Rattus norvegicus: one gene and its partners. The protein of the gene in region 1 interacts with the protein of each later gene in a biochemical or structural test. Links are inferred from orthologs where the notes say so. Each region holds a gene or a part of one and is shown in the gene's direction. Other genes may lie near its edges.

The links.
Region 2: the proteins of Egfr (region 1) and Cav1 form a complex in vitro, tested with the Homo sapiens proteins (2 studies listed by BioGRID). The link is inferred for Rattus norvegicus from reciprocal best matches to the Homo sapiens genes EGFR and CAV1.
Region 3: the proteins of Egfr (region 1) and Blk form a complex in vitro, tested with the Homo sapiens proteins (2 studies listed by BioGRID and IntAct, with this or other methods). The link is inferred for Rattus norvegicus from reciprocal best matches to the Homo sapiens genes EGFR and BLK.
Region 4: the proteins of Egfr (region 1) and Syk form a complex in vitro, tested with the Homo sapiens proteins (2 studies listed by BioGRID and IntAct, with this or other methods). The link is inferred for Rattus norvegicus from reciprocal best matches to the Homo sapiens genes EGFR and SYK.
Region 5: the proteins of Egfr (region 1) and Dcn form a complex in vitro, tested with the Homo sapiens proteins (2 studies listed by BioGRID). The link is inferred for Rattus norvegicus from reciprocal best matches to the Homo sapiens genes EGFR and DCN.
Region 6: the proteins of Egfr (region 1) and Plcg2 form a complex in vitro, tested with the Homo sapiens proteins (2 studies listed by BioGRID and IntAct, with this or other methods). The link is inferred for Rattus norvegicus from reciprocal best matches to the Homo sapiens genes EGFR and PLCG2.
Region 7: the proteins of Egfr (region 1) and Fes form a complex in vitro, tested with the Homo sapiens proteins (2 studies listed by BioGRID and IntAct, with this or other methods). The link is inferred for Rattus norvegicus from reciprocal best matches to the Homo sapiens genes EGFR and FES.

The regions. Positions count from the first base shown.
Region 1 is NC_086032.1:95,539,126-95,542,625, forward strand, and holds part of Egfr (epidermal growth factor receptor isoform 1 precursor), read left to right. Parts: intron 1-1,139; coding exon 1,140-1,286; intron 1,287-3,233; coding exon 3,234-3,331; intron 3,332-3,500. UniProt on the Homo sapiens protein: Receptor tyrosine kinase binding ligands of the EGF family and activating several signaling cascades to convert extracellular cues into appropriate cellular responses.
Region 2 is NC_086022.1:46,605,074-46,609,337, forward strand, and holds the start of Cav1 (caveolin-1), read left to right. Parts: upstream 1-1,464; 5' UTR 1,465-1,619; coding exon 1,620-1,649; intron 1,650-2,194; exon of another isoform or gene 2,195-2,347; intron 2,348-2,898; exon of another isoform or gene 2,899-3,075; coding exon 3,076-3,240; intron 3,241-4,264. UniProt on the Homo sapiens protein: May act as a scaffolding protein within caveolar membranes. Forms a stable heterooligomeric complex with CAV2 that targets to lipid rafts and drives caveolae formation. Mediates the recruitment of CAVIN proteins (CAVIN1/2/3/4) to the caveolae.
Region 3 is NC_086033.1:41,809,983-41,813,482, reverse strand, and holds part of Blk (tyrosine-protein kinase Blk), read left to right. Parts: intron 1-742; coding exon 743-846; intron 847-1,987; coding exon 1,988-2,134; intron 2,135-2,475; coding exon 2,476-2,628; intron 2,629-3,500. UniProt on the Homo sapiens protein: Non-receptor tyrosine kinase involved in B-lymphocyte development, differentiation and signaling. B-cell receptor (BCR) signaling requires a tight regulation of several protein tyrosine kinases and phosphatases, and associated coreceptors.
Region 4 is NC_086035.1:12,761,274-12,764,773, reverse strand, and holds part of Syk (tyrosine-protein kinase SYK), read left to right. Parts: intron 1-747; coding exon 748-860; intron 861-3,500. UniProt on the Homo sapiens protein: Non-receptor tyrosine kinase which mediates signal transduction downstream of a variety of transmembrane receptors including classical immunoreceptors like the B-cell receptor (BCR).
Region 5 is NC_086025.1:34,166,641-34,170,772, forward strand, and holds the start of Dcn (decorin precursor), read left to right. Parts: upstream 1-1,332; 5' UTR 1,333-1,358; exon of another isoform or gene 1,359-1,364; intron 1,365-4,131; exon of another isoform or gene 4,132-4,132. UniProt on the Homo sapiens protein: May affect the rate of fibrils formation.
Region 6 is NC_086037.1:62,492,316-62,496,533, forward strand, and holds the start of Plcg2 (1-phosphatidylinositol 4,5-bisphosphate phosphodiesterase gamma-2), read left to right. Parts: upstream 1-1,418; 5' UTR 1,419-1,809; intron 1,810-1,899; 5' UTR 1,900-3,483; intron 3,484-4,218. UniProt on the Homo sapiens protein: The production of the second messenger molecules diacylglycerol (DAG) and inositol 1,4,5-trisphosphate (IP3) is mediated by activated phosphatidylinositol-specific phospholipase C enzymes. It is a crucial enzyme in transmembrane signaling.
Region 7 is NC_086019.1:143,749,814-143,753,181, reverse strand, and holds part of Fes (tyrosine-protein kinase Fes/Fps), read left to right. Parts: coding exon 1-124; intron 125-205; coding exon 206-325; intron 326-490; coding exon 491-613; intron 614-724; coding exon 725-911; intron 912-998; coding exon of another isoform or gene 999-1,033; coding exon 1,034-1,117; intron 1,118-1,658; coding exon 1,659-1,868; exon of another isoform or gene 1,869-1,896; intron 1,897-2,170; coding exon of another isoform or gene 2,171-2,203; exon of another isoform or gene 2,204-2,242; coding exon 2,243-2,365; intron 2,366-2,653; coding exon 2,654-2,707; intron 2,708-2,821; coding exon of another isoform or gene 2,822-2,842; exon of another isoform or gene 2,843-3,189; coding exon 3,190-3,308; exon of another isoform or gene 3,309-3,334; intron 3,335-3,368. UniProt on the Homo sapiens protein: Tyrosine-protein kinase that acts downstream of cell surface receptors and plays a role in the regulation of the actin cytoskeleton, microtubule assembly, cell attachment and cell spreading.

The DNA.
Region 1 (3,500 bases):
TACCACACCAAGTATCACTAGAGACAGCCATGAACACACGCTGCAGGGAAGGTCGTGGGGGGAAAAGGACCCAAATGTGAGTTAAGCTTCTGCCTGCCGAGGTCAAACAAACATAAGCTCCTGCTGTGAACTCGATGTGAACCAAAGGAGGACAGCAAATGAGGTTTCATGGGGGGAGCGTTTCTGATAGAGAAACAATGTTTTCTTATGAAATGGCCAAGACCGTTGTTTCATGCGGCGATTGGTTTAATCTGTCTGTGTCATGGCTTGGCAAGGGTAAACCATGAGAACAACTGGAGAGGAAGTAAGAATGAGAAGACAGTTACTGTTTGTTCCCAAGGAAGACCCGTCTCACCGGGGCCCAGCTCTTCTAGATACAGCACAGCCACGCACAGGACTATGCTTCACCTTCACAGGGAGACCACTCTTGCCAAGGCTCCCTTGCTTGTTCTTCCCTTATCTTGAGCCTATTGTGGCCTAACCAGCAATGTCCTTGGTTCCTGTGTCAGGCACTTACTTGGTCCTTGAATTTGCCCAGAGGCAATTCAGGGAAAGACGAGAAAGCATTGTCATTATAAAACACAAGTATCACCTCAAAGGGAAAAGAGAGAGTTTATTCTGATCTAGACTATAGGTGGTCATACCAAGGAACACAAATTCAGGTTGCCCTGAACGTTTTCCCTCTCAGAAGCAGGTATGTCAGATTGTATTAGCTACCGACCAAAGAGCATTGTATAGCAAATGGCGTGTAGTTTACAACCTTGCTTCCTAAGGTCCTTGTTTGTACTACTGTGAGTATAAAGTAATCGGAGCAGTTGTGTAAGTGAGCAGACATTGTTCTGTAGCAAACTTATGCACCACAGTTGTCCTTGTCTTTAAGGTTATAACTATTCCACTTAACAGCCAGCAGCTATATGCCTCACATTTAGCTAAACATTTTTTGTATAAGATCTTAGTATATCCTTGAAGCTATTGTCTTACTGGATAGGTAAGCCCAAGGTATCAGTAATCAACCAATGGCTCAAGGCTACAGAAACATAGGTTTTAAAATACTTACCAATGATAATGGATAAAGAGTAGGTGGTGTGTTAATCATTAACTCATGGAGCAATGACTTTCTTTGCCTGGTGTCTGCCCAGGAGTCACCGTGTGGGAACTGATGACCTTTGGGTCCAAGCCTTATGATGGGATCCCTGCAAGTGAGATCTCATCCATCCTAGAGAAAGGAGAGCGCCTTCCACAGCCACCTATCTGCACCATCGACGTCTACATGATCATGGTCAAGTGTGAGTGACTGGGGTGACCATCCACACTCATGTTGATGGGCCTGGAAGATGTAACTGCTCTTAGACAAATAGCCCGGGCCTTCATTTCCTGGAAGAAATAGAGTAGGACTTCAAGGCAGGCCACACAGTTCCAGAAACATCATAAATACCTCCAGCAAGCATTCTTTAGGAATCAGTTGCTTGCCTCATTCTGACCTCATATTTGCCCATATTTGCAAGCAAATAAATCAAAACTGAAGTCTTTCGTAAGCCATTATTCCCAGATATTCTATTATCTGAGTTGCTCAATGAACTTACAAACTTGCATTATATTTTGAGACCTGTTGCTAGAGAGACTTAGTGTTTTAAAATGCCTAATAGTGAGTAACCATGGGAGTTTGATAGAATCAATGTTTCTGCTCTGGCTTAAATCTTTCAAACAGTGGATTTATATGAGGTCTCCTGCAGTAAAGCAGTTAATCATGTTAATTCCAGTAGGAGGTTGCATTTGGATCAGTGCTATTATTCCACACAAATCGACAAGTGTGCTCTGAAAGTAACAGTACCCATGTGATAGCATCGGCATAGAAACAGCATAGGAATATGACAGAGCCGTGGTCTTGGTTTTGCATTCTGTTGCTGTGATAAAACACTGACCAAAAGCAACTGGTGGAGCAAAGGCTTTATTTGGCTTACAGCTTACTGTCTATCGTTAAAAGATGCTAGGGGAAAAGCTCAAACCAGGAAGCTGGAGGCAGGAACTGGAGCAGAGATGGAGGAACACTGCCTACTGCTTTACTGTCCTTGGTTCACGCAGCCTGCTTTCTAAGAAAACAAGGAAACACCAGCCAAGGGATGGCACCGCCCACAGTGTGCTGGGCTCTCCCACATAACTCATTAATCAACACAATGTTGCTGACAGGCCAATCTACTGGAAGTGTTTTCTCAGTTAAAGTTTCCCTTCCCAGATGACGCTAGCTCATTTCCAGTTGACAAAAATCTAACCAGCACAGCTGCTTTAACCTAAATAACAATACATCTCTGAACTTTGGAGCAGAGCGTTAGTCTATTTTCACTGCTTTGGTTTCAGCTGAGGAAGCTGAGGCCCAAAAAGGTTACATGATTTGTCTAAGGTCACACAGCAGTTTAGCCTAAAATAGCTTGATATCCAGTTGAAAAAATAAATGGAATCCCCAAGAGGCACCAGGATTTCCAGTGCACAGTTTATCCTCCCCATTGCTGGATTTATGTTTAGACCACTGGTAAAGCAAAGCATTACTGTTAACTACTAAAAATAGATTTACACAGAGAGTACTAGCATTATGAGACCCTAGGTTCAATCTGCATCACTGATAAATAATTGATACATGGGTGAATACATATGTACACACATGTACATACATACATACATGCATGCATACATACATTGATACGTAGTTAGATGGTAGATGGATGGACAGACAGAAAGACAGGACACAGATCCAGCCTTGTCACTTGCATGAATGGTAACTGAATGGAGAATGCAGTAACCTTGACGTTTCTGTAAATTTAATCTGGTTTCTAGTTTAGAAGGCTGTAGATTAGGACAAAGAAAATACAGAGGTATACCAAAGTCAGAGAAGTTCAGTAGTGATTGCATACAGTAATACACTGTGGTCACTGAAGATCATAATGCAAGAGTGATTACTAAGGAAGGGCAAATAGAAAAACATTAGCCTATATGTTATTATTACTCTGATGAAAACTGTTGTATAAGACTGGGAACAAATGCACAAGGCATTATAACAACTTCTCATGGGCTTCAAGAACTAACCAGTGTCAGCCATGTGCCAAGGCTCTCACAAAGATTATATGCACTCAGTATCCACATGCCTAACAAGATCACAGCATAAAATGCTCTGAGTAATGCCCTCCTTGTTGTTCCTCCCAGGGTTCTCATTGCTATGCTTTGCTTCACTTCTCTCTCAGGCTGGATGATAGATGCTGATAGCCGCCCAAAGTTCCGAGAGTTGATTCTCGAATTCTCCAAAATGGCCAGAGACCCACAGCGCTACCTTGTTATCCAGGTACCAGGCCAAAGTTGGTTCTTCCACTGTCAAAATCTTTCCAATCGCTCCAGATGCCACCGTGCTAGAGCAACACAGCCCGTGAGGTGTTTTCTTGATAATAAATCCTTTTGTGCATTAGAGCAGCCTCTACTAGATACAATGACTGGATTACATGGGGGATACGTGA
Region 2 (4,264 bases), on another chromosome or scaffold:
ATGCATGTTGTCACACAAGTTAATCAAAGGCTTTGGAAGAGTAATTTAGTAGAAGTAAAACTGAGGAAATGAGCCTTTTGGAAGATCTTTAATCTCATGGTGAACAGCCAGCACATGTTACCTATTGTTTACCACACTGACTTTCTCCCTGCCATTCCTAACTAAAATCCATCCTTTTATTTCTAACACTGTACTGCTAACCACCCTCATTTGATCAGTATGACATACGCAAGTGTTGAAGTAGCACACTGCACCCCACTAACATTACGCTAATATCACATGCTAATAAAACAATAATTAAATTACTTACAAATAATATTTATAATTTATAATTCCTCATACATTGATAATTAATTAATTAGCAATTAATTCAAAGGATAGATTGTCTCTTTTCCCTCTAAGCAGGACCCAGATGATGAGTTCTTTTATCTATTTTCAGGCCCCAGGTTTTGTCTTCAAGACCCCATGCTCCTGCTTCTTGGTGGCCATTTTAAAATGTACTCTCTGTCCCATTCAGAGTACTACGGAAGTATTTGCATAGGAACGCTTAGGTAAAACATCCCTTTCATCCTTATTGGGGGTGGTGAGCTGCTGAGTTGCTGTCTCTAATTAGTAAAACGCAACCATGATTTATATTATTCCTCTTTACAATAAAACAAAAGGAGGTTGGTCAGCTTTTGAAACTGATATTTAGTTGTTAACATAAAAAAATTTTGTCAGACAACAACAACAACAACAACATATTCTCTCACAGCCAAGCACATATTCCTGGGCCAGTATCCTCTGCGGCAGAGGATGTAGTTCAGTGACAGAGTGTTTATCTCTAGGTAAAATGCACAAAGCCCTGGGTTTGATCTCAAGCCAAGGAGGGAAAAATCCTCTCTGGTAACAAGCTTGAACCTCCAAGTAAAATTTTCTGCAGTTGAAAACATTCAAAGTGCTTTATGATTACGGTATAACCTGTTGGTAGGAACTTCATTTTCTTTATTGCAGAGGCGCCCACACAGATTCCTTCGCTGTGTTTATATAAAAAATGTTCCCTCAGGTTCCCAGCCATCTCTTCTCTATCTTTCTCTGTGAAACAAGAAGAGAGATCAGTCCTAGTGGGTAATGGAACGTGGGCGAAGCGGGAAGGGAAGCGGCTTAGGATAGGGCAGAATTCTTTCCGTGGAGCCGGATGCCCATACTGGGCATCTCAGCAAACTCTTGTGCTCCCTCCACCCCTGCTGAGATGATGCACTGGGAAAACACGCGCTCTCCCCTGGATGCCTCTCTGTTGGTTTATAGCTGGGAAAACGTTGCCGCGGGTCTAAAATATCTGCCCAAACAGACAGCCTAGCTCTGATGAAGGCTTTCTCACAGGCTCTCAGCTCCCCGCGGGCGCTCCCCGCCCTCCGCTGCCAGAACCTTGGGGATGTGCCTAGACCCGGCGCAGAGCACGTCCCAGCCAACTGAGAGCAGAACAAACCCCTGGCCAACAGCCAAGAGGCTCCCTCTCAGCCACCGCCCCCCGCCAGCGCCTTTCCCCCTCTATACAATACAAGATCTTCCTTCCTCAGTTCTCTTAAATCACAGCCCAGGGAAACCTCCTCAGAGCCTGCAGCCAGCCACGCGCCAGCATGTCTGGGGGTAAATACGTAGACTCCGAGGTAGGCTTGGGTGAGGGCGCGCCGGCTCCAAAGTGCCTGCTTTTGCTATCTCGCACTCCAAATGCTCGGGCTGCTTTCCTAGCCCCAGCCCTCTCTCCACCTTCACAGCACTCGAGCTGGTACCGCGGAGGAATGGGCTGGGTGGGGAGGTGAAAAGCTAGGAATGCCTTAGGGCTTCCTTTTGGAGAGGGGACCAAAGGAGCCAACGGAGAAAAGAAGAACCCCCGGGTACTGTTTTATGAGTCTGAGTCTGCCAGACTTAGAGAAGTTTTCCAGATGACACTGTTCGCGAGACCCCCCTGCGGCGGTCCAGCCCCTACCTACTAAGAGGCTTAGAGCTGGTGGGGTGTGTGTGTGTGTGTGTGTGTGTGTGTGTGTGTGTGTGTGTGTGTGTGTGTGTGTTCGGGTAAAGGAGATTCATTTGCCCGCAGTCCTGAGGACAGCCCCCCGCAGGAGCCTAAAGTGGCTGGCATGGGCGGCGCCGTGCGTGTATAGCACTTAGCGAAGTTCTCGAGAACTTCAATAATTCTGCCCCTGAGAGGCCCGGAGGAGGTCCGAGGTGGGGGAGCCTCTTTCCTCACGAGTACCACCGCCATTGTCAACTACTTCTTGGTACTCTGGTGGACTGAATGTGGCGACCTGGGTTCCCCAATATGACTACGGTTCAGCCTGGAGTAGACAGCCTGGGGGTGATCTAAGTAAGGGTGGGTGAGGGAGTCCTTCAGGTGACATTTCGTTCTGGGGCATGGGGGCGGGGTGAGGGGTCTTGGTACATGCCTCTGTTTAAAGAAGTGTGTTAGATTGTGACCCACTTATTCACCCCCACGGCCTAAGGAACACCGTGGAGCACGGGGTGGAGTGGGGAGGTAAAAAGGGTAGGGGCTGCAGCAGGTGCAAGGGAGAAGCACTGAGGGACAGAGAAGATAGGATCATTAAGTCTGTCAGCAGGGTCCAGAGGGATCTTGATAATGTTGGAAGGGATCGTAGGACGGGGTTAACGGTTCAGAGAGGGACAGAGGAGCAGGTGAGGTTGAGGGACACGGGTGGCCTGGTGGAGAGAAGGAATACAGAGGAGGCGGAAAGCGAATCCCAACCCCTGGCCTAGGGAGCTACAGTCGGGAGTCGCGAGGAGTAGGAGGGCGCATGGGGCTTCGCCCTGACCCCTGGCGGCGGCGCGGGAGGCAGGCGCTCCCCGCCTGGTACCGAGGGGTGTGGTGTCCTCCGCTCCGTCCTCTTAAAAAGCTTGCAGCGTTGGAGTTTTCTGTGTGCAAAGCCTTTCTCCTGGGAGGTTGAAGCTAGCAAAAGTTGGAGCTCCAGGCTCCCCCCACCAACAGCCAGGCTGACTCTTGACTCTTGTTTTTCTTTCTGAACTCTTCTTCCCACCGCTGTTGCCGCCCTCCCCTGGCTTGGCCGGTTGCCCTCACAGGGACATCTCTACACTGTTCCCATCCGGGAACAGGGCAACATCTACAAGCCCAACAACAAGGCCATGGCAGACGAGGTGAATGAGAAGCAAGTGTACGACGCGCACACCAAGGAGATTGATCTGGTCAACCGCGACCCCAAGCATCTCAACGACGACGTGGTCAAGGTAAACACTGGTTGCTGTTTGCGTCCCTCAATGTAGTCTCCTAAGCTTTGGCAGACTGGCACTGTCTTTTGAGCTTAGCAGTGTGTGAGCCCCTGCGGGTCCAGTGTCAGAAATGTCGCATCTGCCAGCCTCCTCCTGCTGGCTAGTTCAGTAGGAATTTAGCCAGTTGTTGTGGGGGGGTGGGGAGTCCATAGACCCCCAGCCCCACACATGCACATTATTTCGGAACGGACGATGATTATGGTCCATTGGAAGGTTAAAGTCCAGTTACAGGTCTTTTATTTGTGGGTGAAACAATTGTGTGAGACTTTAGGTGAATATTAGGACGCAGAATGAGCATATCCCTTCAGCTAAATAATCTAAATGATTAGCCTAAAAATAGTAAATGAGTGGAAATGCTTCCAACCGTTAACATATGCAGATATATGTACAACTTTTGTATGCAGTGTGTGTGTGTGTGTGTGTGTGTGTGTGTGTTTAACTCTAAAAACATAGCACACGTGCATGGGCAAGCCAATTTACCAAACTGAAAATCATTTCCACCTCTTGACTTCTGGATCCCTCTAGTTAAATGTGTGCATCTGTGGTGAAAGCCAAGGTCAGCCTGCCCTGGGCTAAGAGAACACAGGCTGGTGTTCCATTTTACATTTTCAAGATGTACTTGCTGGGATTTAAAATACATTACTTTCCTGAGATGTTGACCCATGTAGACCTGACACAGTGGTCTGACTTTCATTATCAGTTCGTTATTCAACTTTGACCCTTTCAACAATTCTGGCTCAAGGAATTTCTTGTCTGAATCCGACTGGGTTGAGAAATCCTGGACTTGAGCTGTCCTTGGCAGAGGGTTTCCTCTGAGTGGCCTGGAGGGCCAAGGAAAATCCTAGCTTCGGGGGTTCCAGTGGGAAGGTGCTGTCCTGCCCAGCCCCTAATTCACCACTGAGGAGTGATGCGGCTTCCACCCACAGTCTCCTATCTAAGGATGGGAGGAGCTCCAATAGAGTTTCACCTTCATGAATAATAT
Region 3 (3,500 bases), on another chromosome or scaffold:
CTTCCCACACAACGTGGGCCCTGGGTTTTCCCCCAGAACCATGTTGTATTGGTTACTTCTTTCATCATTATTAAAAAAACTATAGTTTAAAGAAGGATTCATTTTGGATCATGGTCTGAGAAAGTACAGCCCATCAGGGTGGGGAAGACACAGTAGAGTTCACGACGGCAAGAATGTACAGCTGGGTACCTCTCACAGCTTGGTGGAGCAGGAAGCAGCTAGAACTCCAGCAGGGCAGCCGAGCTGGCTTGTCACCTCAAGTGCCACTCCCATGGCCTCCAATTAGACCTCATATCTAGAAGGTTTCTCAGCCTCCCAAAACAGCACCACTAGCCAGGGACCACATCTTCAAATACACACAAGCCTGTAGGAACATTTTTTATCTGACCACAACACATGACAAAAAGCCCCGTGATAAAGAGAGGTGGCTTGGAAGGAACCAGGCCCAGAAAGCCCCAGGCACTGCTGTTATTCACTCAGAAAGCAAGGAAATTACAAACTCATGCCAGGGGACAGTGGTGGGCCAGGAACAATTTTGCAGACTAACACTAATGGAGGTTACCTAGCCCATGTTCTTGCTTCGTTCAGGGAAAATGTGAGCCTAGAAGCTGATGGGAGATGGGATGGGGTGGGGTTGCAGGGCCTTAGGAGCCATCTAACTGAGCAGGATGTGAGGAACATCTCAGGATCAACTTAGGGGTGTCACCAACTCTGAGGCTCACCCACTCTTGCCGTTTTCCAGATGGTTCTTCAGGACCATTAGCCGGAAGGATGCTGAGAGGCAGTTGCTGGCTCCAATGAACAAAGCCGGCTCCTTTCTCATCAGAGAGAGTGAGAGCAATAAAGGTGGGTTCAGGAGGCTCGCCGCCCCCTTGCTGTGTGTGCATGGTCCTGGGAAGCCCCACAATGGCTTTGGTCCAGAGTAGCAGGGATACCTGCTCCATGGCTTCTGTCCCATGTCCCTTGTTACAGTGGTCACGAACTAGTGGACTGAGGCAGATAGGGGCTAAGAAAGGAAAGGCACCAGATAGCCTTCAGTTCCCTGGCATTTTTTTGGAACCAAAGAGTCAAGATTGGAGAATCTGACTGAGAAAGCATCTCAGTCAGAGTGGCAGGTCACAGGAGGCTGGGAAAGAGCAAGGCCTATGGCAACATCAAGGTGTGATGGACAGCAGTACAGACCCTTTGTGTCCCTTTGCAAATAGGCTGTGAGAGACAGATTGGCAAGGAAAGATACAAGAGGAGAAAAGTCTTGAGATGAGGAAAGCATCCAAAACAATCAGCAACATAGTATCAAGGTCCTCACACGAAAGGTGTGCAGGCCTGACCCCTTGTGGCGGAGGGTGGGACTGCTCCTCAAAGATGTGTCCGTGGGAAGGGTGGGATGCCCCCCCACCCCAAGCCTACTTCTAACTCTTCTCCTAACCTCCATTTAATGGCCTCATTTCACAACTAATTTGAAAATGGGAGATTCTGTGGTAGCCACAGGGCTGGACAGAGGCATTTTATAAAAGCTCAAGGAAACAAACTTCTTGGCAGGAGGGAAATTCTTTATTCTTGTGTGCCTTGCTTCCTTGTCTATACAAAAATGTGAACACAGACTATAAAACACAGTGTGAGAGAAAGGCCTCTGGTGAATGGTTTGCTATGCTTCTGGGAAAGGCATCTGCACTGGAGGCCCTGATTCTCTGGGGGAAGCCATCATCCTTCAAATCAAAGATATTTAAGCTCCACGTCCTCTGGAGACCTTTCACTTCTCAGTATTCCAGGCACCCATATTTGGATGAGAAACAGTCCTGTTTCCTGAGTCCCTGGCAGTTTAGGGGCTTGAAGGGAAGTCTGGGTCAGACAGCCAATAGGGAGTGTTCTGGGAGAGTGTTGAAACGTCTGAGAACTGAATACAGAATTTGGGAACCTTTTTTCACATCTCATAAGCCCCAACTATACTTACTTTGTCTTACTTCAAATGTGTCTATTAACCCTCTAGGTGCCTTTTCCCTATCTGTGAAAGACGTCACCAGCCAGGGGGAGATGGTCAAGCACTATAAGATCCGCTCACTGGACAATGGAGGCTATTACATCTCGCCCCGGATCACCTTCCCCACCCTCCAGGCCCTGGTGCAGCACTATTCTGGTAAGAGGTGTTGGGGTAGGGGCTTCCCTGAGGAATCCCTGGGGTCTCTACCGCATGACCCTAAACTGTGTGAATCAACTGGGTTGGGGTCCTCCAAACCAGACTTAAGGACGTGCCAACTTTCAGCTTAATCATTTGGAGATCAGAGGCCTAGTGCTTCATAGGGGCTCCTCGGAATGTAGCAAAAGACCTGCAGTCTCAGAAAGTGCAGATCCCAGACATCAATCACGTCCTGCCTCCCACACGGGAGTGAGACAGGGGACACAGTTGTGGGACAATGTGGTAATTAAGACGTATCTGCTCTGGTGACCTCCAGGACCCTCTTTTCTTCCCTGAAACAGAGAAAGGGGACGGTTTGTGTCAGAAGTTGACCCTGCCCTGTGTGAACCCAGCCCCGAAGAATCCCTGGGCCCAAGACGAATGGGAAATCCCCAGGCAGTCCCTCAAGTTGGTCCGGAAACTTGGGTCTGGGCAGTTTGGTGAAGTCTGGATGGGTGAGTTGTGGCATCCCAAGTTCCCTCTCTCTACTCTCTGTTCTGAGCCTGAAGTGGCCACAGGAGGCAGGCAGCTCCATAGGGACAGCACACCCCCTTTCCTGAGGGGCCTGTGAGGGGTGGAGGCAGGGCTATGTGTCTTTACGGATGAGTTAATAAGTCCAGGTGCCAAAGAACTCACACCGTTACTTTGTCTTCCCTGTAGTGGAAGAGACTCGAATCCAGCTCTCCCAATTTTCAAGCCAGTCCCTCTTATTCTCAGCCTGATGCTGTCTTTGTGGCTGATTTATGTGTACTTGGCCATTTCACTAGGTCCTCTTAACCCCAGCTCTCCAGACATAAGCCATACATCAGATATTGGAGTCAGGAGCTCCAGGGTCTGTGCAAACAGAAGTCATGCTTGCTGGGGTGTGTCTGTGGGAGTCCCAACCCCAGAGGCCACATCATCCTGTCATAGTTGCTGCCTGCTGCTGCTTACTGAAAGCACTCTCCGGGTGTAACATAAGGCCCTTTGTCTTGTTCTACTCTGGTCCATGTCTCAAAACGTCCACTCTGATGCCTCCTTGAGCCTCACGCCCAGAATTGAGGCTCCTCTATCTGGAGCTGCAGACCTGGTCCTCACCAAGGCTCGGCACGTCTGGGAAGAACATTGCCCCAGCATTGCCTTACACACTTGGGTGTCATTCCACACCCCAGACTGCACGAACACAGACTCCAGACACATCCTGAGGCTCCATCGTGGGGTTTTCAGAGACAAGCTAATATCTTGCACAAGATATGAGCTCCCATCATCCCCCGCAGGAACTACATGTTCCAGCTTAGACCTTGGGCCCGAATAGAGTGAAGCTTGAATCTGTGGTCTTCAATGTCTG
Region 4 (3,500 bases), on another chromosome or scaffold:
GTGTGTGTGTGAGTGTAGTATGTGTGTATGAGTGTAGTGTGTGTGCATATGTGTGTAGTGTGTGTGAGTGTAGTGTATGTGTATAGTATGTGTATATGTGTGTAATGTGTGTGTGTGTAGTGTGTGTGAGTATAGTGTGTGTGCATATGTGTGTAGTGTGTGTGAGTGTAGTGTGTATGTTTAGTGTGTGTGTGTGGGTGTAGTGTATGTTTATAGTATGTGTATATGTGTGTAATGTGTGTGTAGTGTGGGTGAGTGTAGTGTGTGTGTGAGTGTAGTGTGTGTAGTGTGTGTGTGTGAGTGTGTGAATGTAGTGTGTGTGAGTATGTGTGTGTAATATGTGTGTGAGTGTAGTGTATGTGTATTTTGTGTGTGAGTGTGTGTAAGTGTAGTGTGTGTGTGTGTAAGTGTAGTGTGTGTGTAGTGTGTGTGTGTGTGTGTGTGTGTGTGTGTGTGTGTGTGTGTTTACTGGGTGCAGACAGATCCTAGGGTATCATTCAATGGCTTATCACAAATGAAGCTTCCCAAAAACCGAATTCCCTAAATGAGGGATCAAAACAGAAACTCCACAGCCTCCCCTCTCCCCTACACACTTCTCACTGGGCAACCAGGCTGACTCGAGGATTCCAGAGGAGAGGCCCCTACTCTTGTCTTGTGACTTATGTCACTTGAAGTCTCCTGTGTGTCTGCGGGTGAGGTACTCTTGTTTGTATATTTTGAAAGCTTGTGTCCATTTTCACATCTCAGGGGATGAAAGGGAGCGAAGTGACTGCCATGCTGGAGAAAGGAGAGCGGATGGGGTGCCCTCCAGGATGCCCGAGAGAGATGTACGACTTGATGAACCTATGCTGGACTTACGAGTGAGTGCCCAACCCTTCCTACCATTGACCTGAAGGTTCTAGAAGTAGGCAGTGTGGCTGCTGCTGTCCTAACTTCATTTCTGTCGCTGTGATAAAATGCCATGACCAAAATATAACTTAGAGGGGAAGGATTTATTTTAGCAAGGAACTCCAGGTTACAGTCCATGATCACAAAGTCAGGGAGGTGGAAACTTAAAACCATTTGGTCATAGCATATCAGAACGCTGAGAGAGAAGATGGGACACGTGCTTCCAGTGCTCAGTTCTCTTTCTCCTTTCACAGAAAGTTCAGGATTCCCTGGTCCAGTGGCCTCCCATGGTGGCCTGGGTCTTCATTCAAATAACACAGGACAGTTCCACCACAGGCCAACCTGTTGTAGACTTGTGGAAACTCTCTTCCCAAGGGGTTCCAGACTGTGTCGAGTTGACAATGGAAACAAACCACAGCTACTGCTACAGAGTTTGTGACCCCTGGGAAAAGACCATAGACTCCATCTGATGGTATTTAAAAGATTTATCGATTAGCTGCAAGCAGGAGGAGCAATCTCTGAGCCACTGTTTGAAACTGCTGTGAAGGAGGGTCGTGAGGGTCTGTTACTGCTGCTGCTGCTGTTGTTTTGTTTTGTTTCCTTTTGTTTTGTTTTAAGAGGAAAACCACAGGAAGACCTCCAGTATCTGAACAGGCAACCAAAAATTGGTCTGTTCTGTATCGCCAAGTTAATCGGTTAAGGCAACTCAAAAACAGCCTTCAGGTCCCTGCATAAGCAAGTTACAGAAGCTAAAAAGGCAGTGGGTCGTGTCATACAAGTCTGGTCGCATCTGTACCTTTGGGGTGGCGATCACTGAGTAGGGGTTACTGGGAATTTATCTTCCAGGGACTGGAGTCAGAGACAAAGAACTGGAGGGAACCAAGAGGGATGCCGGGTTTTAGCCATCACACTGGGTATTAACGTGAAGTGGGCGTTCTCTTGACGCATTGGGAATGTGCTGCCTTCTACATAGGTGAGGGCAGGAGGCAGGCCAGAGATTGACTGTGTACCTATCCAATCATGTCACTTCCCAGCAGGGATACTACTATGTACATTTTGTAACTGTGGGAGTGTCATAAAGCACACTTAGGCAAACCAGGGCCGCCGAGAAGTCACCAGCCCTTATAATTGTACGAGACTTTGTTGTGCCTGGGGGAAAAAAATCACAGAATCCCAGATATCCTCTCAAGCATCTAGAACACTCTTGCCTTTGCCAAACTCAGACATGTCTGGGAGCATCCCTGCTTCCGAGAATCCTAACATGGAGGCTAGAAGCTCCCGCTGACCCCAGAAGCCCCCAGATAGTGATGCAGGGTGGCCACATGCCACATTCATGACTGCCCAGCCTACAAGTTCAGACGCCCCATCCCTATTCTTAGGTACAGTGTGCTTTGCCTTCCCCACCAGCCCTGAGCAGGGCACCGTGCACACGGTGAAGCCACGGTGAGCCACTGGGCATGCTCAGCTGTGGCTGCGGGGAGATACCAGCCACTGTGATAAAGCTGTCTGGTGTTAGTGAGGTTCTCGCTAGCTGACACTGAGTGTAGGCATACATTTTTTTGCAACCTACTTTTAATAAGGGTTCAACCTCTCCTCTGGCCCACCACCCCGCAGAGGCAGTGGAAGAGGAAAGTTATTAGGATGTTGGGGAAGTGGACCTGTTCAGCAGCAGTTCTTTGGGGGCGAGCTCGATCTTCTTGGGCAGCAGTGCATTCCCATAGCAAACACCAAATACGATTCGGCAACTGCAGACCGGTCCTGTAGGCAGGCAAACACCAGGCACAAACCAACAGCTCCAATCCAGTTCCTTCAGCAAGCAGACCCCAGACAGCTGTCACTCAATCCTGAAGAAACCGCCAGGCTCATCAATGGCCTGAGGCGAGGCCGTAGAATCAGCAGGCAGCTGCAGGGACCTCAGGAGCAGTTCTTGGGAGAGTTTCTCTCAAGGGCGTCATCATCACAGGTTGAGCTCAACAATGCTATGTAAGGCGTGTCTTTAGTGAAGAATAGCGAGGCAGGGCAAACCAAAGCTCAGTGCCCATCTCCCACTGTCTGTGGGGTCATATTCATACTCCTTCAACAAGCGTCCTTTCACCTGTGTCTGCCTCAGGAAAACAGTCTTTCATGTGTTTGCTTCAGCAAGACATCCTTTTTACTTTTGTGCCCCAGCAAGACATCATTTGGCATAGCTAACTTTCCAAAGAACTAGACGTTTCCACTTCAATCAAGACCATCCATTAAGATGCTACTGGGCCCGCCCACCCGTGCAGCTCTCTAGAGCTTTGCTCTGTGAGAGAATGCTGGCCCTGGGTTCTATGTCTCTTCTCTCTAATCTCGGCTGAGCCCTGTGGAGCTACGGTTGTGACAGGGCAGATGGCAGAGCAGGGCCAGTTTGGCTTTTAACCCCAGGTTTCCTCACTGAAAGCTCTGTCTGCTCGATCCATCACGGACCAGAATGTAGCAAAGTAAGAGAAGCAAGGTCGGCATTCCAGGGTCCTAAGGAAAGCGGTTGATTCTCAGACTCCATAGAGTCTGCACCAGCACGTTTACTGGGTTCGTTTTTAATTGCATCTGGTGAGAACAAGTTTTTCCTGCCAGTGTTACCCGTGTCC
Region 5 (4,132 bases), on another chromosome or scaffold:
CCAACACTTGGACTCTCCACTTTCTAAACCAGCAGAATAACCCAGTCTGTTGTAACTCAGTGCAAGAACGGTGTGTGTGGAATGATCAGTTAAAAGACAGGCAGTTAAGACTTGGGAAAGAAGTCAAAATAAGTTTAGCTCCATTCTCCCCCTCTTCAGATTTCCTCTCAAGAATTTAATTTCTCAGCCTCGAAAAGCTCGAGAATATTTCCTGTCGAAGCATGCAGTTAGATGGGTAGAGGAAGGATGGGGGAATCTTCCCCTTTTTCACAGATGGTGATTTCAAGTCCCCACCTGATGAGAGCCTAGAGGCCTGGGCATAAAAATGCAAGTCAGAACCTGGGAAGGCAAACAGAACAGCCCGCAGCCTCCAGAGATGGAATTATAAAATCTCCAGAAACTTTCTACACCGCCTGAATAAACACTCTTACTCTATTTGCTCTCTCTTCTCCTTCTTTTTTCCTTCTATTTACTGAAGTTTAAAAAGAACCACAGAAAGTCCTGATTACATAGAGGACCCATCTGTAAAAATCATTTTTTTAACCTACAAATTATATTGTAATCTGCTCCTAGTTTCTATGTGTTTTATTTCACAAAAACAAGGGGTAGACAGCAAGGAAGTTTTTGAAGCCGTGGGTAATGAAAGTAATAAACAACATATTTTCCAGATTAAATTCTGGCTTTGTCCCAGAACACCACAGAAATGCATTCAAAATGCACAGGGAACTACGCAGCCCTTGATCTTCGGAGCCCACGGGTCTAATTCTGTGGAAGTCTACCCAGTCTTCTTTGCAAAACGGCTATAGGATTAATGTCACTCCATTTCCCAGACCCTCACATCTCTAAAGCAAGAAACAAAATATCATTTCAGCATGATAATAAATACTACTTACAAACAAGGCGGGAAAAGGTGGAGACTGGAATGGGGTTGGGGGTGGGGTGGGGAGACAAACTCTTCAGTTCTAATCTTTAAAAAAAGAAAAGACAAATTTCAAATCAAGTTGCTCCACTGGACTACAAAAGCAGTTTGGAATGCTGGGCGGATGCGAAAGGAATAAAGCAAACGTGGAGGGGGAGAAAGAACGGGGCCGATAAAGTTTCTGGCTACAGTACAAGAGACGTATCATTACCATATGATCTAATGTGGGTGTCAGCTGGATGTGCTCACTCAGTGAAACCTTAGTGTTTAACTGTGCTATGGAGTAGAAGCAGGAGGTTTTCAACCTAGTGACAGTCACAGAGCAGCACCACCCCCTCCTCCTTTCCACACCTGCAAACTCTCTTGCTTGGGCTGCATTACTTAGTGTTAATTACATCGCAGCTTTGAGGGCTCCGGTGGCAAATACCCGGATTAAAAGGTATGGCTTTCAATAATTGTCCTGAACTCTGCTACAGGCTAATAAAGCTTCTGTCAAGTGGAGGGCAGAAGGAAATATCTGGTGAGAAAAAGGAACGAGAAGGAAAGTCGTGCTAAACTTTGTATAATGTTGATACAACATTAGAAACGAGTTGTTTGAAAAACAGAAATTAAGTAGTCGGTAAAAAAGAAAAAAATACTGCTTGGATGCAATGTTTTTGTTTTCGTGCTCTCTCTTCTGTTCTTGCAAATATGCTTATTAAAAACTTGTAACCTAACACCATGACTGACTATAATGATATTTTTGCATTTGTACCGATGAAATGCTTTGCTCTTTAGAAACTGTTAGCAGAAAAGCATTTGTAACTAGCATATTGCTTGTGCCTAAGTTAGGTATTTAAGGATTTCTTCTGGTGCTGGATTCTTGCAAACTTCACAAACCTTTAAAACCTCAGCAGGTCAAGTTTCTGGCTATAGAAATATAATGTCTACTTCTGCAACAGCAAAAATGAACAGGAATTATTACCAGAAAGGTGAAAAGGAACACTGGAAATATATATTATGTTAAAGATCCGAGATAATACAGCTGCATACCTCTTTGGCTATAAATAAATGTTCCTGTCAATAATTTCAATGCAAATGAACCTTTCTTATGAGGTGCATTCACTAGGAGGTGAGGGTGGGGGTTGATTCTCATTTTAACTTAAAGCAGAGTAAGCAGAGGACCACTGGTTAGGTGTGCCCCAGTGATCTCTGTGCCTGTGGCTTTTCCCTCCCTGTCGCTGTTTATTTTAGCAGACCTCCCCGAAAGAAACATTGGACTTTTTTTTTGTAGCTCTTGTTCATGGACAAATGCATTTTTATTGCTTATATTTTAATTATTGCTGTTGTTACTGAAGTTTTTAATTCACCTTATAATGAGGGATTTAAGTGTTCTTGTTCTGTATTTGCAGATTTTCTTGATACGTACATGTTAAGTTTTAACTCTGAAACACCTAACAATGGTATAAGCATGTTTACATTGAAGTCAACCTGGATGAAACAGCTAATCAAATAAAGGAAGGTTTAGGGGTCAGACGAATTCCTTTTGGTGAGACATTTTTGAACCAAAACAACTATTTTTAAGGAAAGAGTGGCTTTACAAATATTTGAGAGTAACAGTTTCCATGCGATATAAAAAGTGTTGCTTCAGTTACAACCTCCTTTCTTTGTAAATTTCTTTGTGCTATTCCAGTTGTTATTTATCACAAAAGGAAAAAAGATCAGCACTGAAGTTACCTTGAGGACTATTGGCACTTAAGATTTCTCTTAAGTTAATTCCTCTAAACATGCTGGCTCTTTGAGTATTATAAAAAATATTTAAAAGGAATTTCATAAGAGAATTTGAACAAAATTTATATGCACACCATTTTAGGATAGCAGAATTCACAAACATGCTTGCAACACATGCAAACACACCATGCATGCACACACACATTCACATACACCCACACCCCCCACATACACACACGAGAACGAGAGAGAGAGAGAGAGAGAGAGAGAGAGAGAGAGAGAGAGAGAGAGAGAGAGAGAGAGAGTTACTGAAGTGCTGAAGTGGTATGCAGTCTGACTGTATCAGGCTTTAATCTAAAGGAAGCTTGAGCAGGGAATTTGTACTATTTTAACAAGGTAAACAAACATAAATAACGACGGTGTTTCGGAGCTTATGCTCAACAATTCCTTTTTAGGGCTGCTAGTAAAGCCACCAGGCACATCAGCACTGGAGAGTGGATCACAAAGAGACATCTGCAGAAATGCTCCTTATTCTTCATTAAATATGAGATTACTTTGTTTCTTCTTCTTCTTCTTCTTCTTCTTCTTCTTCTTCTTCTTCTTCTTCTTCTTCTTCTTCTTCTTCTTCTTCTTCTTCTTCTTCTAAAGTTACAAGGCATTAAATATGCAAGGCCAGCAAACTTATGGTAAACCATTAACATTGGATCTTAATGTGAAACAGAGAGAAGGCTTCTCCTTTACTGCAATCCAAAGAAACATCCCTAAACAATAACCTCCCTAAACGGTAATCGAGTGGGAGTGGGTTGTTAGAGGGCACTTGTCCTTGAATTTGGGGAAGTCATGTGAATCATAACCTTTACGATCTTTTTAATTGAAAAATCACAATTCTGTATGGGTTGTTCTGTTTTAGTCACACTCCAGTATTAAATATGAATTAAAAATGAAAGGAGAATTTTTTTTAAAAAATAATTGCAAAGCATTTGCTTATTTCCTAGTGGAGCTGCAAAAAGCTTCAAGGATATACATTCTGTTATATGTTCAAAAGATATCTTTTTCTTTTCTTCATTTACTAGCTAGTAATGAAAAATAGTAGCAGTAAATCCAAGAGAGCGTGTCATTGGATTTGCAGAGACGCAGGTCTTCTTGAGACCATGAGTCTGTAAGTAAGCCTGCAATGTTTGAGGACTACTTATAAGAGCTGCAGAGAGATCTTAAGCCATGTCAGTTCAAAATCAGGTTGCTGGATCTCTCTCTAGACTGTTCATTTTGAGTTATTTAATTCATATCATAACTAGAAATTTTCCGTGAATATACAATTTGTGCTTTAAAACATCAGATGTGTTTGGTTTCTTGGAGCAAACAGAGTGCACTGTGTTATTAATAAACTGATGGTGGCTGAGTCACTTGTGTTCAAAATATTGTGCAAGGCATGGGTGCAGAACAGGGACTAATAAGGCACGCCCTGAGGGAGAACATCCACTAACACTGGGGCAGAGTAAGCAC
Region 6 (4,218 bases), on another chromosome or scaffold:
TGTGTATGCGCGTACATGTGTGTTTGTGTGTGTACATGTGTGTGTGCATGTGTATGTGTGTATGCGTGTATACGTGTGTGTTTGTGTGTCTGTATGTATGTGTGTGTACATGTGTGTGTGTACGTGTGTGTGTGTGTGTGTGTGTGTGTGTGTGTGTGTGTGTGTGTGTGGTAGTGTGATGCATATGTATGATATACTTGTTCCGGCATGCGCTTGTAGATATCAGAGGCAGATATTGTCTGTTTCTCTCACTTGCTTCCTTACCTTGTTTTTGAGACGAGTTTTCTCATTGAACCTGGAGTTAACTGTTTTGGTTAGATCAGCAGCTGGCCGATAAGCCTCAGGATTTCTCCATTTCCCTTCCTGCCCCAGGGCTGCTGTTGCTGATGTTTGATCCTACACTCAAGTTTTTACATGGGTACTGAGGATCAGAACTCAGGCCCTCATGCTTGCACGGCCAGCGCCTTACCCACTGAGCTGAGATCTGCGGCTCCTAGAATAATCTTTCTTAGATGTCAGCTTAGATGTCGCCTCCTGAGGGAGACCTCCCCGATCACTCAGAGAGCACCCCTCCCGTCCCATCATGCCTCACTGTGCTTTGGTTAAGTTTTATAACACTGCTGCCAAATGATGTATTTAGTGATTTACTGAGGGCAGGGACTTGATCCATCTTGTCCCCTGCTTAATGGCCTGTCTACCAGAATAATGCCCGGCACTTGGGCCTGACACCGTCATTGACCATGAGAACTTTTGATTGACAGCAGCAGTTGCTTGAGTGTGGGCTTGTGCTCGGCACTTGCTGAGTGAGTTCTTGAACGTGAACTTATTTCTTTAGACTCTCAGGTCCCCTTTGTGTATGTTTTTTCATCTTACCAGCAGGAAGTGGAGGCCAGAGGAGTGACAAGTGGTGTTGGTGACACGCAGTCTTCTTAAGGACCCCAAGCTGGGGCCCTGGACATGGCTGGGGGGAGGGGAGACAGGTTGCAGATCAGGCCATGATGCAAATTAAACTTCTGTTTCTATGACAGGGAGCTCAGGTTTGCCCTGCCTACCTGGACTGGAGGACGTTCAGGACACCCAGGCTCTGCTTCTTGCAAGGTTCTGCCTCTCTGAGAGGGAAGGAACTGTTCACCTCCCCGCTGGCTGCAGCAGGAACTGCTAGGAGATTACCCTGCCCACCCTAAGTGTTGGTTTGCAAAATGCTGAGCCTGGTGGGGAAATGAAGGGCTGGCCTGTTAACCACAGCGAGGGCTCATTTGCAAGAGTGAGGCTGGGCCAGGGCGGGGGGGGGGGGGGGGGGGCTGCTCTCCCTCTAGCAGAGCCATTTCTGCAGGCAGTTGTCCTGTAGGGACCCACTTGGGTCCCAGTCCTTCACTTGAGCTTGGAGTGGGAGGGTGATAAGGGGTGAGGGGCTCATGCTACAGCCTCAGTCTTCTCCTCTGAGGAGTGGGCTGGTTGTGATATCATGAGGTGCGAAGGAGCCCGTGCCTGAGAACCCTTCACGAACCATGAGTGCTTGGTCAGGAATTGCTGCTGTCATGCCATGGAACTAGGTGGTGGACATGATCAGAGACCCTCCCCCAGCCCCTACCTCATATACCTTCCAGAAACAATCCCCACTTTCATAGCGGTGTGTCCTCTCTGTTTCTTTCTGAACATGATTTAAATTTATTTACTTATTATGTCAGTCAGGGTCTCACAGCCACTGGCCCGGACCTTCCTATCTACTTGAGGATGGTTTCAAACTTCAGATCCGCCTGTCTCCACCTCCTGAGTGCTGGGATGACAGGCACGCAGCACCAGGCCCAGGTTAGACGGTGTCGGGGATCAAAGCCAGGGTCTTGAGCATCAACTGAGGTACATTCCCAGCCCTAATTGCCACCTTCATTAAACTTCCAGGAGTCTGATACGGAGCTGGCCCGATGACTCTCTGTCACAAGACTGTCATCCCGCAAAGCTGAGGGTGATGGCAGCAGAGGATGGGACAGTGCACCAGAAGGAGTTTGATGGTCCCTCGTGTGAGCAGTCTGGTGCTGATGGTCACCCACGGGTCATCTAGAGTGGTTACAGTAAAAGGGAGTGAGAACAGGAAAGAGGAAGTCTGGGAGAGGAAGAGATGGTCCACAGAGGTGGCTGTCGGAGCAAGGCCTGCATGCGAGGCACTCGGGCCTGCTCAAGCTGCCTTGTAGAACTGGTGCCTCTAGAGCTGTTGTCTCCCTCATCTCATCCTGAGGGGAGTGACCCAAACCAAGGGCTGCATTTAGGGTTCAGGGACCCAGACGGGCTTTGATGGACTGAGGGAAACCAAGCCTTTAAAGAAGTTCCAAGGAGGCGGGTCAGTACACAAGGTAGTCCTTGTACAACTACAAGGACCTGGGTGTGGGTGCCCAGTGCCCATGTGAAAACCCATGGCAGTAGTGGTTTGTAACCCCAGTGCTGAAGGGGCGGGTCCTATTGGCCATCCAGCCAATAACTGAAGAGCTTCAGGCTTGGTGAGTAACCCTGTCTCAAACAATAAAGGTAAGGGGCAACAGGGGAAGACCTCTGATGTCAACCTTGGGCCTCCACATGTGTGCAAATGCACCCGCGCGCGTGCACGCACACACACACACACACATACACACTGACTGGTTCACTCAAGACATACATGCATATATACACATGCTCACACACGTACATACTCACACTAAGTAGCACGTACGTGCACGCACTCACACTAACTAGTGCATAACAAGCACATGCACGCACTCGTGCGTACACACACACACACACACACACACACACACACACACACACACATACACAGTAAGATCTGTGCTATCCTAGGGCTCTGGAATTATCTCCCAGAGACCATTCCCTCTCCTCTCTGCCCACACCTCATCTGTGCCCTTTTCTTGTTGTGGGTGTGTTGGCAGCCTAAGTTTCCTGAGCTAGTGTGGCCTCGTCCCGGTGGGAGAATGTGGTGACTCCTGAAAGCCCCTCCTGCCATCTCTCACCATGGACGGACACAGCCCACCTGACTTATCAGATGGCTGGCTTTGGCCTTTGAAGTCACCTACTCACCTGTACAGATTCACTTGACTTAAAAACAAAGACCTGGCTGCAGTCGCTCTCACCCTGTCACTCGCCCCAGGGTGCTTGGAGAAGGCCTTGTGGGATTTCCCTTGATGACTGGAGGAGTTGGGAAACCGGCCTTGTTCACCTTATCTTCTGGGCTTTTACCTTGGGACACTAGTTACCACCCTGATAAACCCCAACCAGGTGGCCCTGGCTGCAACTTCTGAGGGTGGCAATAGGTAAAGGGATTTTCTTTGCAGGAGCTGGTGGGAAGATGAAGCAGCTAGTTAGTCTGGAGCTGGCATCTACAAGAAAGCCCCGTCTGTTCTCTGTCCAAGTCAGGATGTTTCTGGCTGGAACTTGACCTTGGCAGTGCTCCCCGTCTACCGGGCTGCTGATGGAAGGAATGGCCATCCATCCGTGGGTGTGAGTGTCTTGGCTCGGGAGCTGAGCCCTGCTCTGGACCAGTGGGGCTTGGGCAGAGCTCGCCTAACCTGCTCAAGCTGGTTTCCTTTTCTGCAAAAAGGAAACAATGAAAAAGAGTTTCACAGCTCAGAGAGGCGGGAGGAGGGACTCTGGAAAGGCCTTGGCCTCTGGCTGAGGGATGGGAGCCCTGAAAAACTGCCACTACTTTTGGGATCTCGGGGCAGTGGTTCCTTGCAAGGGTGCTCAGGGAGAGGAAGAGTACTAGCAGGCTTGAGCGAAGTCTGAGCAAGGCAGGAAATCTTTCCTGGAGGGGAACTTCTTGGGGGACCAAGGCCCACCTGTCCTCTCCAAGCATCTCTTTTTTTCCCCCCAAAGTTTTTTTTTATTGGCATAAATTTATTATGGCTCCAAAATTAATGCATAACCCATATGACATGTTCATAAATGAATTTACTGCTCTTTAGGTAATATTCACTCCTATTGTCTTTCTCGAGCCCTTCCCCTAGTGGTCCCCCCTACTCAAACTTTTCTTTTTTTGGTGAGTGTGACTAGTGAGTTTAGTTGGGGTTACTTACAGGGGCAAGAAGCCTGGGCACCGGTAGGTGGCGATACCATTAAACAAAAGGTCTCTTAGCTGGGCAGTAATAGCGCTCGCCTTTAGTTCAGCACCCAGGAAGCAGAGGCAGGCCGATCTCTGGGCTCAAGGCCAGCCCGGTCTACACATTGAGTTTTGGG
Region 7 (3,368 bases), on another chromosome or scaffold:
AGGAATACCTAGAGATCAGCAGTCTGGTGCAGGACGATGTGGCATCCATTCACCGTGAGCTGGCTGCAGCTGCTGCTCGCATCCAGCCTGAGTTTGAGTACCTAGGCTTCCTGCGACAGTACGGGTAAGCCGGGGTCCTTATCCTTGAACCTCCTGGGCTCCGGGGCTTCTGACCTAGTCTCTGAAGGGCCCTGTGCACCCACAGATCTGCCCCTGATGTCCCACCTTGTGTCACTTTTGATGTGTCACTTCTTGAAGAGGGCGAACAGCTGGAACCTGGGGACCTGCAGCTGAACGAGCTGACCTTGGAGAGCGTGCAGCACACGTGCGTGGTCGCTTGTCAGACTTCCTGTGTGTGGGGGGGGGGGTGGGTGGGGGTGGGGGTGGATGTGGGGGCAGGGAACCCTTGGCTAAGTGGCCAGGCTAGGTTGGCTTGTTGGGGTGCATGTGGTGGGGGCACAGCTTTCATTATCCTGCCCTTGGGGTGCAGGCTGACCTCTGTGACAGACGAACTGGCTGTGGCCACCAAAGAGGTGCTGAGCCGGCAGGAGATGGTCAGTCAGCTGCAGCGGGAGCTCCAGTGCGAGGAGCAGAACACCCACCCCCGAGAACGGTGAGGAGACCCCACCTGCAGCAGCCTCCTGACTCCGCCCCTCTGCTGTGCATGCAAGGTTCAGGCTGACTCTCTCTCTCTGCCCTCCCCTTGCCCTGCTCCTGCCTGCAGGGTGCAGCTTCTGGGCAAGAGGCAGGTGCTGCAAGAGGCGATGCAGGGGTTGCAGGTAGCACTGTGCAATCAGGACAAGCTTCAGGCTCAGCAGGAACTTCTACAGAGCAAGATGGAGCAGCTCGGGACAGGCGAGCCCCCAGCCGTACCACTCCTTCAGGATGACCGTCATTCCACCTCTTCCACGGTGAGATGCCCTACCACTACTATGCCGACCCCTGCCAGCCTGCGTGCAGGGGCTGCACTCCTCATTTTTGCCCTCCCCCTCCCTAAGCCTGGCCACACGCTGACGTCTGTCCCTGGCCTCAGGAGCAGGAGCGAGATGGGGGAAGGACACCCACCCTGGAGATCATTAAAAGCCACTTCTCTGGAATCTTCCGCCCCAAGTTCTCCGTGAGTAGTCCAGAGCTGGACCTCTACCTCTGCCCATCTAGTTAGGCCAGGCTAGGAGTCTCAGACCTTAGACCTCCACACTCTGGATAGAAGGACCTGCCTGCCTAGAACACTTTCACAGTGTGGGGTGGGAGGAGCGGGGCGGGGGGCAGCGGAGCACGAGCAGGGGACAACATTTCCTTCCTCGGGTTTCCTTCCCTGGGGTTCTAGGCTGCAGATACCTCTGAGCCCTGCCAGCTCTCGTGTCCTCTCTTCACCATCCCTATATGCCGCAGGGGCATGTGGCTTTGGCTACTGCACTCCTCTGCTGCTTCGGGAGTGACGGAGAGGCCTCTGGTTCAGAGGAGAAAAGTCCTAACTTGATTGGGATCTGCTAGCCCCAGCTTCCCATTTCAGTTGTGCCCAGAGTGAGCTTGAACCAGGCCGCTCTAGTGTCCCGTGGATAGCTTAGGGATGAGAGCAGGTGACACGGTGAAACCCCACCTTAGCCCAGGGCTCTCCCCTTCTGAGCCAGCCCAGTGACACTGCACACTCCTCCCAGATCCCTCCTCCGCTGCAGCTCGTTCCAGAGGTGCAGAAGCCCCTCCACGAGCAGCTGTGGTACCATGGGGCTATCCCTCGGGCAGAGGTAGCTGAGCTGCTAACACACTCCGGGGACTTCCTGGTTCGGGAGAGCCAGGGCAAGCAGGAGTATGTTCTGTCTGTGCTGTGGGATGGCCAGCCCCGACACTTCATCATCCAATCCTCAGATGTAAGTGGGGAGGGGACGCTGATCCTACTCCTTCTGTCTTCCCCTCTCTAGGGAAATGGTCTAGAGCTCAGTGACCTTGAGTGTAGAGAGTAACTGCTGTACCTTCAGTGCCTCCTTCTCTAACTCAGTTGGAGGGCCCCAAAGAGAATATCCATGTCCCTGAGTCTTTCCTCCCCAAAGAAAAAAGATAGCAAGAGTGCCACGTACCAGTGTGTCCTAGGCAGTCCCTGCCCCCTACTCCCCACCTCTCCACCACACCCCTAGTCCCCCACTTCTGTTGCTGCTCTTCTTGCCTCTTCCAGGGCTCAGGTCTCCTTACCAAAGGAAGCTGCTGACCTCAGGTCTCCCCAACACCCGTAATCCCTTCCTCACAGAACCTGTACCGGCTGGAAGGGGACGGCTTTCCCAGCATCCCTTTGCTCATCACTCACCTGCTGTCCTCCCAGCAGCCCCTTACAAAGAAGAGTGGTGTTGTCTTGTTCAGGGCGGTACCCAAGGTGAGCCTGTGGCCAGCCTGGCCCACGTTGAGCTTGGGAATCACAGGTGCTCAGAGTGTGGATAAGCATTTACCCCACAAGAGGGCCAGCCTCCCCCTTGGTATGGGATGCCATATATATCAGCCTGATCCCCAAATTATCTGAGTGTCCTGATATGACCAAACCTATGGGCCAGTGTGACACAGTAGGTCAGCTCCAAGACTGACATAGTGTCAGCCGGAGTGTCTTCCACAAGGCCCAGCACCCCTTCTGTTTGCCGACTTCTGAGTCCCTTGCTTCTTTCCTCAGGACAAGTGGGTACTGAAGCATGAGGATCTGGTGCTGGGAGAGCAGATCGGAAGGGTAGGTGTAGCCCCACGACCCTGGGATTCTCCAACCTTCTGGGCTCTACCTGTTACCTTCCTCACAGCTTCTTCTAGGCCCCTCACCAAGTCTCACCTCTGGTTCCACTTCCAGGCTCCTAGAGGGTCTCCTTGACTCAGTGTGATTCCAGCTCATAAAATATCGAATACCAACTCCTAGACTGACATCTTACCCCAGCTCTCGCCCTGCTCGAGGGTGTCTTACTAAGCACCTCTGTTAATATCAGACGCCAGCCACTTTCCAATCAGAATGCTTTCCCGACCCAAAGAAAAGCAATTCTTCCCATGTCACTTCTTAGAGAAGGTGGCACAGACCACGTTTGTATCTTTACGAGGGGAACTCCTCATAGAGACCCAGGGTGACAAGGCAGCATGGACAGTGGGGACAAGATGGCTTGTCCTCTGGAGGTGAGAAAGGGAAGCAATACCAGGAAGTTGTGGTAGGAACCAGGACTATTGCAGGGGAACTTCGGAGAGGTGTTTAGTGGACGTCTTCGTGCAGACAACACCCCGGTGGCTGTGAAGTCTTGTCGAGAGACGCTCCCACCTGACCTCAAGGCCAAGTTTCTGCAAGAAGCGAGGTGGGTCATAAAATGGGAACAGTCAGAGGTTCCTTGTGTGAGAGGCTTCCTCTGTGCACT